Linked DNA regions of Drosophila melanogaster. The protein of the gene in region 2 interacts with the protein of the main gene of each other region in a pairwise test. Each region holds a gene or a part of one and is shown on either strand. Other genes may lie near its edges. The genes, in order: shep, CG44251 and CG43897.

The links.
Region 1: the proteins of CG44251 (region 2) and shep interact in a two-hybrid assay, tested with the Drosophila melanogaster proteins (one large-scale study listed by BioGRID).
Region 3: the proteins of CG44251 (region 2) and CG43897 interact in a two-hybrid assay, tested with the Drosophila melanogaster proteins (one large-scale study listed by BioGRID).

Annotation. Positions count from the first base shown.
Region 1 is NT_037436.4:5,275,864-5,279,619, forward strand, and holds the start of shep (alan shepard), read right to left. Parts: upstream 2,082-3,756; 5' UTR 1,751-2,081; intron 501-1,750; 5' UTR 460-500; coding exon 292-459; intron 1-291.
Region 2 is NT_033778.4:12,950,466-12,954,221, forward strand, and holds the start of CG44251 (uncharacterized protein), read right to left. Parts: upstream 1,829-3,756; 5' UTR 1,712-1,828; coding exon 1,708-1,711; intron 1,414-1,707; coding exon of another isoform or gene 1,381-1,413; intron 885-1,380; coding exon of another isoform or gene 28-884; exon of another isoform or gene 1-27. Other genes in the region: CG44250 (uncharacterized protein), read right to left, coding at 28-884, 1,381-1,413, 1,708-1,711; CG13321 (uncharacterized protein), read left to right, coding at 3,192-3,198, 3,493-3,756.
Region 3 is NT_037436.4:9,811,909-9,815,664, reverse strand, and holds the start of CG43897 (uncharacterized protein), read right to left. Parts: upstream 1,819-3,756; 5' UTR 1,743-1,818; exon of another isoform or gene 1,704-1,742; intron 1-1,703.

The DNA.
Region 1 (3,756 bases), on a different chromosome or scaffold from region 2:
GACTGAATGACTGACTGGCGAGAGTGCGACCGAGTGAGCCGTTTGATTGCTTGATTGATGCACGAAGCTATTGATTGATTGATGCCTTTGTTGATCTCTGATTGCTTAAATGTTTGCCCAACACTTTTTTTTTAACAGGCTATTTCGAATTGCTTTCGAGTTTCGAAGGGGTAATGGTGACTTTCTACGTTTTAAGACTTAAATCATTTTCGTAAAACTGTACACTTCAGTTAAATAATAGATATTCTAATATTGTCTGTATTATAAAGATGCAATATGTATTTGACTTACGTTTGAATAGTTCTGGGATCTCGGAATCTGCGGCGGCAATTGCTGGGCATTCGATGGCCCCCTCATGCTAACGCCTCCACCTCCCCCGCCGCCCTGCTGCTGGTGTGGCGGTCCGCCCATCTGTTGCTGTTGCTGAGGGGGCGGGGCTGGGCTGTATCGTGGGTGCATTTTTTCTAGTTTCTTAATAGCACTCTTAAATTGACTTGTGACTGCGAAAAGGGGAGTAAATGAGATAATGCAGATTAGAAAGAATGAGTCATAATTGTAAATATTCTATAATCTTAAGACGTTGCAGATATAAACATTTGCATTAATTGGAGATACAGTCTTAACTAGACCCCATTTTTTATACAGATCAACTGCTCAACCTAAATTAATTATGACAGTTTGTTTGTAATTAATTAAATCATTATTATTATTAAATAATAAAACAAAGATTATATATTTTAATGTATAAAATGAGGTCAGTATTTTTTCTGCTAATTAAACTTTTCGTCTATTTTTCTACCACTTTTTTACAGCCCAACCCGTTTGCTCTGACTGCCGCACGGCAACACTGTTCTCTGCACTCTTCTTTCTCTCTCCCACTCTCTATTTTTATTGCTTCTTTTTAGCATTCTGTGCCATATTCAGCTTATTTTGCCGTGCTTATAATTTGTTATTAATATTTCACTAGCAACTTTGTTGATTATTATTAGCACCACCCGTCTTAAATTGTTTTTTTTACTTGCAACGGAGCATTCAGCGAGTTATTTTAGCACTGTTTCTGTCTCTTTCCCGCGCGGCAGTTGCAACATTTGCATTTTGGCATTAAAAATAGCACACAGCACAGGCCAGCCAATTTTTTTTGGTTTGCAAATTTATTTATATGCCGCCAGACAGCCACAAACACACAGGAACACACAATAATTTATTGATATGCGGAGGAAATTATTCAATTGTTTTTACGCTATTGCTTTTTATCAATTGCACTTGTTGTTGTTGCTATTTTTTGTTATTGCTTATTTAAGGACAATGACAGCAAAATAGAGAAGGAGAGCGCAGTGCACAAGAGAAAGAGAGTAGAGAGAGAGAGAACAAAGAGCGGGTGGAAAGAGCACCGGCAAACAACAAGTGAGCAAAGCAAAAGGTGAAAAATAAATTTGCACTGCGATAAGATTTAAATAATTATTGCTCTCTCTCTCTTTCTCTCATTTGACTTTTTCGTTTTTCCCAGTTGTATTATTGTTTTTCGTCTGCTGTGCTGTGCCGTTCTTATTTTTGTATTTTTATGCCATTGCTTTATGTATTTTTTATCGAGTGCATTGCTCTAAAACAACAACATTCGCTTTCAATTAGCTGAGAGCCGCAAATTTGTTGCTTTTGCCATTGTTACGTCTGCTTTGCGGGGCTTCCAAAGGTAGTTTTTCCTCTTGTTCGATTTGCTTTTGGATTTTAGCTTTGCCTAAATGTTGCTTACTTATTGAAATTTCGTTTTATTGCTGGTTTGTCAGCTGCTGATGGCTCTTCTTCTTGCTTCTTGTTGCACGTTCTGTTTTTTTTTTGCACACAAACACACGCACTCACAGTCGCACAAACACAACACACACACACAATCTCACGCCCACGCACACTATTTGCACTTGAAAGTAATTCGACTCGTTTTCGTTTCGATTTTTCGCCCTTTTATTTTGCTGTCTTCGTTATTTGTTTGTTGTTCCGTCACGCGTTTTAATTTATATATTTATGCAAAATATTACAACGACAAAATATAAGTTTGCGCAGCCGAAAAAAACGAAGAAAGCGCAACGCGACAGCAATCGGCAATGGTATGAGCTTCTTCTTCTTCCTTTTCTGCCGGCAATGCTCTCTTCGCTCTCTCGCTTAATTTACAGCAATCTACAGTAGCGGAAAATAGTCTAGGTGCGACTCATAATATTAAATATTTTCTTTTACTCTATGTAGTTTAAACATTGTGTAAAAAAGAATTTTCAGCGGCGAGTAGCATAATAATAAAGGTCTTAATAAAATAGCACAAGAACTTTAACTTCGGGTTGGATATGTGGCCGTGTAGCAAATATATTCTGTGTACATACTCCTTTTTCCGCTACTGTATATATTTCTTCTCTTCAAATTGTACTCTCTTAGAAAATTTCTCTTCTTATTGCCTCTTATTAGCTTGCGCTTTGCTGTTTAACGAAACTCTTTCGGGTTTCTACTGTATTATTTATAACAATTTTATTAATTTCATGCATTATATTTTTTTTATTTTCTGGAATAAAATTCAAGATTATTAATTAAAAAATCGAAATAACATTGTAAATATTCGAAAATATGCATTGCATACAAAGTTTTCGTCATTACATTTCGTCACTAATCAAAAATAAAGATCCGATTTAACCAATTAAAATCACCATTTTAAAAGCCTATTTTCAGTGCTAAGTTTATATAACTTTCCTTTTTCAAATTTGATACACATGGTTGTCAGTTTTCCCAATCCCATTATATCAGTTCATTACGCAAATGGCGCAAAATAAAAAAAAAAATAAAATAAAAACGTGTGCACCAAAAACTGTAAAGCCAGCAACAGCATCTAGTGTGTTATTTTGAAATATTTAAATAAAATTAATATTCTCAACAAGTGCGTCGCATAAAAGGGCGACACACACCACACGTCCTTCCGCCCGCTTTTCACCAACCACCACCCACCGCCCCATAGCTTTTGGCACATAACAAAGGACTAAGGGACTAAACAAATGATGCATGATGACGACAACGAAAAATAAGCAGATAGGGGGTTAAAACTGAAAAAATCGAAATGAGAGCGACTCCCACGCATTGTAAAGCACTGCCACGCCCACTGCCCACATAAAACCCAACCACTCAGACAGCAGCGGGCGAAAAAATATAAACATTTAAACTTTTACGGCGACTTTGATTTTAAATATATATATATATTTTATTTTTATCCAGCTTGATACATTTCAATAGATAACAACTTTTTTTTACAATTAAGCTTTTATATCTAATTACTTGACTCGCGACTGTAACATCTCCAAGTATAAATACATATATGAAGACAGCCTGTACTGCCACTCCCACCGCCCCATAAGCCTACAAACAATAAATTTGCAATAGCAACGACAAAATTTGAAGAATGGGCCAGGACCAACAAACAAGAAGCAGCATCAGGAGCAGACAGAAAGGACAATACTCGAAATGAAATTGGATGGAACAAAAAAAAAATGTTAATACAACAAAACATGCAAGGAATTTAAATTTATCTTAAATATGCAAATTTACTGACACTATCGAGATATGCAAATTTTCCAAAGCAGCAGCGGCAGAAAAACAATATACAACAAAAATGAAGCAAGAAATCAACGAATTTTAAAACAGTGAAAACTGGTAAAGAAAGTTAAATAAATATGTATACCTAATAATTTGGACATCCAAAATTTTGAAAAAAAATTGTACTTTATTATA
Region 2 (3,756 bases):
GTATCTGTAGTGTTCCGTTCCTTTAGCTTATTGTCTGCAGAGAATCTCGTACGAGTTGATGCGAATCTCCCGACCTCCGTACGGAATATAGAGGCAACGCTGGCTGGCCGAGATCAGACCCGGTGTCAAACTGCCCTGGTAGTGTCCTCGCCCATAGTACAGCAGCTCTCCATTGCGAGCACGACCCGTGGTTACGGCGTTTGGTGGAATGCTGTGGCCGCAATTCATCCATACATATCCGTAGCCAGTGAGCACCTCGTAGCTGGGCTTCTGGAATTCGTATCCGCCGAAGCAAACGTAGGCGGTTCCCTTGCTCGGCACCACCTTGGCAGGCAGCATTTCACCCTCGTGCATTGCCCTTCCGGCGTAAATGGGAGTACGGTCGGAGTCGTGTCCGGCGATCACTGCGCCCGGAGGAGTGTAACTGGGCGAGGCCGGTACCCAGACGTCGTGCTGCTGCTTGATGAGCACCTCGTAGGTGTTGATGCGCACCTCCTGGCCGCCAAATGGAATGTATAGGCAGCCGTGCGATGGATGAACTTTGCCCACAGTCAAGCTTCCGGCATGATGTCCGCGTCCCACATAGAGCGGCTCGCCCGTTCGCGTCGTTCCGCTCCTCACCGCATTCGGTGGCACTCCACCGCTGGAACTGGGCACCCAGGCAAATCCCTGACCCACCAGCACCTCGTAGTGCGTCTTCGTGTGCTCCGCACCACCGTAGGCCACATAGGCGCATCCCTTGCTCGGTACGACCTTGGCGGGAAGATTCTCGCCTTCGTGAAAGGATCGACCCACATAGATGGGCGTGCGGTCCGAGTCATGGCCACCGATAACCGCGTATGGGGGCAGGGGGCTGTATGGAGACGAGTGCACCCAGGTGTTGTCTGCAAGGAGAAAGGCAGTAGGGCGATAAGTTTGATACCACGCGATAAGATAACCTATCTGTACACAGAGCGAAAACCGGAGAGTAAGTTTCGTGTCCTTTCCATTGGAAATATCTTAAAACTCTACTTGATTGATTTAAATCACTGTTATATTAATATTGTCTTGATAGATATTATATATTGTTATTAAAAAAAAAAAGATTAAGATTTACTAACTTCGTACTTTTTCAAAAGGTAAACATTTATCATCCCGAAGCTGCATTATTAAATGGATACGGTTTTGATTAAAAATTAAGTACAATGTACAATATAATGATTCACTCTATACTCATACTCTCATAGCTTTTTCTCCGTGTACATATTTGGCTTGCTGTACGGTTTTGCGGGTTTGGGTGGTTTTGGGTGGCCTAGGTGGTCTGGGGGCGGGGATCAAATGGGATTTGGGGTTTCACAGAGGCGTAGGGGTTTCACCCTGGGCTCACTGCACTCGTCCTACCAACGGTCACAACTCCTCCTGGCTGCACGGCGCCTGGAAAGAGCAAAGAAAGGCGGAGAACTGTAGAAGTCACTCAATGCTCTTTGCTTTTCTTCCGGCTAATGTGCACAGAGAAAAAAATCGCAATACCAACAGAATTGGTCAGCACTTGCGGATTTCTTCGCCCGTAATTGGGAAATTGAATTTAATTAAGCTAATATGCAACAATATATTTTTTGATTTTGATGATCTTGAAGGTAAATTACACTTATTTCATTAGACTTTGGCATTGCAAAATCATTTTTTTTTTTTTGGTTGCACTTATCAGAGGTTACTCATTCTACTTACCCATTGTGCGTTAATTGTTGATAAGTTATTCCTATGAAAAATAGTTTCTTTTATTCACTTGCGTTCTTCTGACTCCAAAATGCGTCTGAACTGACCAAAGTTTGTCTTTTCACTAAACTATTGGTTTGCAAAAGCCTGACGTTTAAAAACCGAACCAGAGCGATTCGTCACTGCTTCTTATCGGCGAGCTTTTATCTTTCAATTCGCATTTGTACATATATAAAAAAAGAAGTGCAGTTGATATTGGGACCTTTGCTATCACTAATTTTAACTTCCAGTCTCGAAAGCTCCATTTCCAGAAAAGCATTCCATTTATCGATCGAAAATGAATCATTGGCCCAAACAGGCGGTACTTTTGGGAGTAAAAGAAAAAAACAAGTAAATCGAAGCATGTGGACATTGTTTTAAATGTTATTGTTGTGCCCTCTCAACAGGTGGAACCCCAATTAAATAGACCCATAAACAATATGACGCCTGCCAGAAGCGCCCATGCTCAAAAAATCCCCCCCGTTGAAGGGGCGATAAGCATGTCGAAAATTTGTACTTTTAATAGAAAAAGGATCATTCATTTTGAATTATTTTTTACCTACTGAAATATTAAAAATAATCTTTAAACCTTTAGTGTAATGTATGTGCTTATTTTATCTCTTTTAATTAATAATTTCTTTGTAATAACAAACAAACTGATTTCAAAGGACATATGTATGTATGCATTTATGTAAGGCATAAAAGGCATTAAAAAGTATAAATATACATATGTGACTCAGCGGTAACGATATCAATAACTTTATATCGCAATTGACTCATCTTTAGACCAAACAAGTGTCTGTAACTTTACAACAGTTACAGTTAGTTTTCCAAAGGTTTCTCAATTATTAGGTTTATGATTTGAATAATCCACAAGAAGGTTAGGTAACTGTTTACATGTTGGTTCTTATTTTTGTTCTAGAAAAGCATTCCTGAACTTATAGTTGATCCATGGACAGCCACCCTCATACATATAATCTTTTACGAACTTATTGATGAAGTTTATTTTTGACTACCGGCGATAAGATTCGTAGCCAACTGCTTATAGATAAAACCCGCAAAAACAAAAACAAATATTCATGCACAAGATCGATTGAGTAATTTTGGTTGCGCTTCCTGTTTAACCCAGAATTTAAATTGTTTTTACCAAACAAAATCATCCAATATACATTCTGACACACCTGTCAGTTGGTCGCAATGACGAACACCCTCTACGACATGAGGATACCTTTGTGGAACACACACAATCGAACGGTTCAGAGCAGTGTGACTAAGATATCTTATCACTGCCGGCTAACTTGCCGAACTGATAAGCGGAAACAACAGCTTTTAAGGCGCAACCGATGTGCGGGTAGCGACCAGTCGTTGAAGTCAGCCCAAACATAGCGGAGCCAGCGAGTATATAACATCACGTTCCAGACCTAAATCAACATACAAAAAAAGCACACAAATACAACATGGGAGGTGAGAACTGAAGTGCAAAGTTAGTGACTAAGATAATTCTGGCGAAAACGAAAGCATAGTGCCGCAATTAGTCGTGACAAGTGGGCAAGTGTCATCGATACTCCGCGCACCTGACAGCCGAAATCCCTTGGAGCTTTGGTAGCTTTCCATAGATCCAGCGATTCTACACCCTGACAAATAAAAGACAAAAAACCTCTACTGTGGCTGATTAATGGTGTACAGTTGGCCCTCGTTGGCCCAAGTTAACTTATCGCCTCTGACCTTGCTCTATATATATATTTTATTCGCCCTCAGACTACACCTGGATTAGCACCAACGTTTACGGATCCCTGCCCCCAGGAGCCATCCTAGCTGGCCACGACTCCGACCAGGATCCCATCTTTGTGGGCCGTGCCTACCACAATGGAGAGATGCTGCCAGCGAAGGTGGTGCCCGGCAAGCAGCAGGCCTATGTGCCATGGGGCGGTCAGGAGATCAGCAAGCATGACTTCGAGGTCCTTGTCGGTGATCACTTCTCCTGGATCCCGTCCAGTGGTGGATCTGTCCCGCCCCATGCCA
Region 3 (3,756 bases), on a different chromosome or scaffold from region 2:
CAATATAATAGCTTAATAGTTCTATGAAATTCAGCTATTCTATTAAAATTTAAAAAATAACAAAAGTATTTGTAATACTGGAGAATCACTGCACCCTTAGCCTCAACCGTCCTATTATTATATTTATATTAAGAATGATAAATGATATACAAGAATTATAAGTTTTCCAAAACGAAGTATAAAGCAATTTATCAAGCACTTTAAATGTTGTTAAATTTATATTAAAATAGCATTTCAGAGGCATTTATAAATATCTACATTTATTTTGAATACATCAAATAAATACTGTCAACGAGTTGTAGTCAAAAAGTGCAGGAATGTTCATCGGCTAAACATATTGATATATTTGCAGCCAGAGAACGAGAGTTCAATTAATTAAAATGATTTATTTTTGAAAAGCCGAACCGCTTACGCATTTGCACATATGGATGAGTGACTTTTATTACCTAATTAACAATAATGATGGCATTAAATTAAAATACATTGAAGCGCATTTGGCAGATATTCAAAATATCGACATCAAAATTACCACCTTGAGTTCAAAATTGAAAACAAAGGGGATTACAGTGCAGGAAAGCTCAAAAGCTAGGCAATGGGTATGAAAATGTGTTCAAAACACCCACAAATCTTCGATGCTGATTCATTGTAGGAACACCTTCTTTTTCCAACCGCCACTGTAAGTTGGCCACATATTTAGACCTCTTTTTGCCCACCCGCCAGCAAGAACAACAAATAAACCAAATAGTTAAAAAAAAACATTAAAAAAAAAGAAGAGAGCGGCAGAAAAAATGAATTATATATGTATAAAAAATATTCGGTCGCCGTCGATGAGCGACAAGATGGAGACAGCGGCAGCGAAAGATGGATAGATACATTTGTATCTGTAGCTATAGATTGTATATGCAGGCTATAAGGCCCGACTATTACAGCATTTTTACTGCCGCACCCCTCGCGCCCCCCCCCCCTCCACCGACCACCAACATAACACGGCACGTCTCTAATATTCTATTTTTGAGCGTAGTTCTTGGTTTTTCTTTAATTTTATTTATTTGATTTTCGTTCTGGCTTTCCACGTCCTCGCCAGCGATGTCAACATTTTTACCCTCCGGACTTTTATATGTCTTCTTTTTTTGTATTTTTTTTTGTATTTTTGGTAAGCGATTTTCCCCCCGTACCATGAAAATAGCACAAAGAAAGAGTCCATATAGAAATCGAGGGGAAAAGGGGAAGAAATGCGCTTAAAATGCCATTTAATTGTTTCACTTGCAGCAAAATGGGTTTTCAGTATTTTTGTGTTTCAGTTTTCAGTTTTTGGTTTTGTGCTTTCTGGCTTTTTGGTTTTTCTCGCGGTTGAAGTTGATTTTATTTTGCCAGCCGCCTTTACGGCTCCACTTTTTAATTGTGCTTTAAATGCTAATTAGCTTTTGTGTGTGTGCTGGATGCAAATGCAATGGACAATTATATATATACATATATATATATAATATATATCGCTTTGGTTTTCCTTTAATGCATTTTATTTAATTAATTTTTGATGGCTCTTTCGCGGCTGGGAGTTTTTCATATTTTTTTCATTGTTCGCCACTATTTGCAGGTGACACATTTTCTGGCATTTATTTTTGGGTTTTCTGGTGCAGCACGCACACACACACACACACACACACACACACATTACACTTTTATGCCCACACACAAAGGTGCACCTGTCGCTGATGCACTGGCGTTGCACTGTCGTACCGTACCGGACTCGAAATTCGGACTCGGGATTGTCGGTACACTCGGAACTAGGAGCTGGCTGATGTGGTGACCACGTTCGCGACCACGGTGCGAATTATTATTGTTACTCGCCGCTCAACGAAAGTCGCTGCTAGCGCTGCTGCTGTCGACGGAAAAGTTCGCGAAAGCAGCAAAAGTTGCTCTTGCTCTAGTTGCCTTTTAATAATATATTTTCATATTCATGGAAAATCGCTGATGATGACACCCCATCGGGTGTATCTTTTGTGTGTGTGTGTGTGTGTGTGTGTGGGGGGCACCCAGCCCAATCCTCCGCCTTAGCCAAAAAGCATAGAACGCCCACTCACACCCGATTATAAATTAGCCACGGACATTGGGCTAATCACAAATGCCCCCTATTCCACTTGCTGAAGCCAACAGGAAAATAAGGAAAAGAGCACTTCAAGCCAAGAAGCGTTAGTGGAAAAGCGATAAATATTCAGCACCAACATACATACGCACACACACACACACACACAGAGTGGCATGTGTGCTAAAACAGCTAATTAACAAGAAAACAACGATTCGATATATGTAGTACATTTCTTCTCCACCTATTCACACGCATACGATACCAATTTTATATGCATGTTCCTCTAAATATTGAACGTTTATTTTTGGATTTTTGGAAAGCCATTGAAAACGTTTCGAATGCCCTGCAAACATACCGGGTTATATCGACTAGATGCATGGTTTAGTTTATTTAAGTTTCATATTTTTTCATTGCATACTTTTGGCAGCGTCGACAAGCTGGGCTTAAATTGGATTTCTATTTGCAGTTGATTGAAGTGAAACCGCACACAATTGAAATTGCTGCACAGAGGCGAAAATCTTGTTCAAATATTGTAAGGTAGTGTTCATTTACTTAATACCATTTAACTCGGAAAAGAAACAAAAATCTACACCAAGATAATCTGGTTCGTTAGAAGCTCAATCTGAAATTGCTTTTTCTTACCTTTATGTTTCTAAATTTTTAATAAAACTAAAAAGCAATCATAAGCATTGATGGAATGAAAAAGGAATGTATATAACGTTCTACTCATGTATTTAAGAAAACTTTTCTGATGAGAATTAAGCTAAGATAAAAATATACCCAAATGTATCCTAAATGGCCTTTTTTAAATATTTACATAAGTACTATCTTAACAGATATTTTTTTCAGTGTGATATTCGAGCACGGCATTAGACAGGCGTCTGTTAACACACGTTTCGATATTTGTTCGTTATCCCCCGCTCATTGTTTGTGCGTTGAGTATTTATACCCGTGTCTCGTAGTGAAAAAGGGTATACTATATTCATTGAAAAGTATGTAACAGGTGGAAGGACTCTGGTGGGATCTCTAGCAGGATTCTAGCGGGAACCCAGATATAATATCGATGTGGCCTCGATATCAGTAGCTATAAAAACTAGAGAGATAGAGTTTATTTTCATATTTTGCCACGCCCACAAGCCGCCCAATACAGCGACGACCAAACTTTTGAAAAATGTTTTGATATTTTTCTATGTTTTTAAATATCTTTTACCAGCTGAGTAACGATGAGTATCTGATAGTTGGGGAACTCGTCTATGTCATTCTCTCTAGTTGTAGTTTCCATCTGCTTATATTTTTGGAAATTTTGTTTTGCCATCAAGAGCAGCGGCCGCATGATCGTCAGAATCAGCAACTTAGCGCTGTTATATTGTTGTGCCCTGCAATTTCACAAGTTCATGTGCTTTCGATGCGCTCAAGCACAACAATTAGTGCATTCAGTGTGTGTTCTCGCCATTGCTCACCTGTGCACCGCCCACCTGTACCGCCCGCTAACCCCCCCCCCCCCCCCAACATCCCCTCGCTCCTGCGCCTGTCAGCGAAATTTAACCCATGCACAAAAAGCTCCGCTGCAGAGCACCTGACAGGCAACTAAGCTGCCTGTATTTCACGCTAGAAAGCCAGCAAAAAATAATATGTTTAATGTTTGTGAATGATTAATGGCACATTAGAAT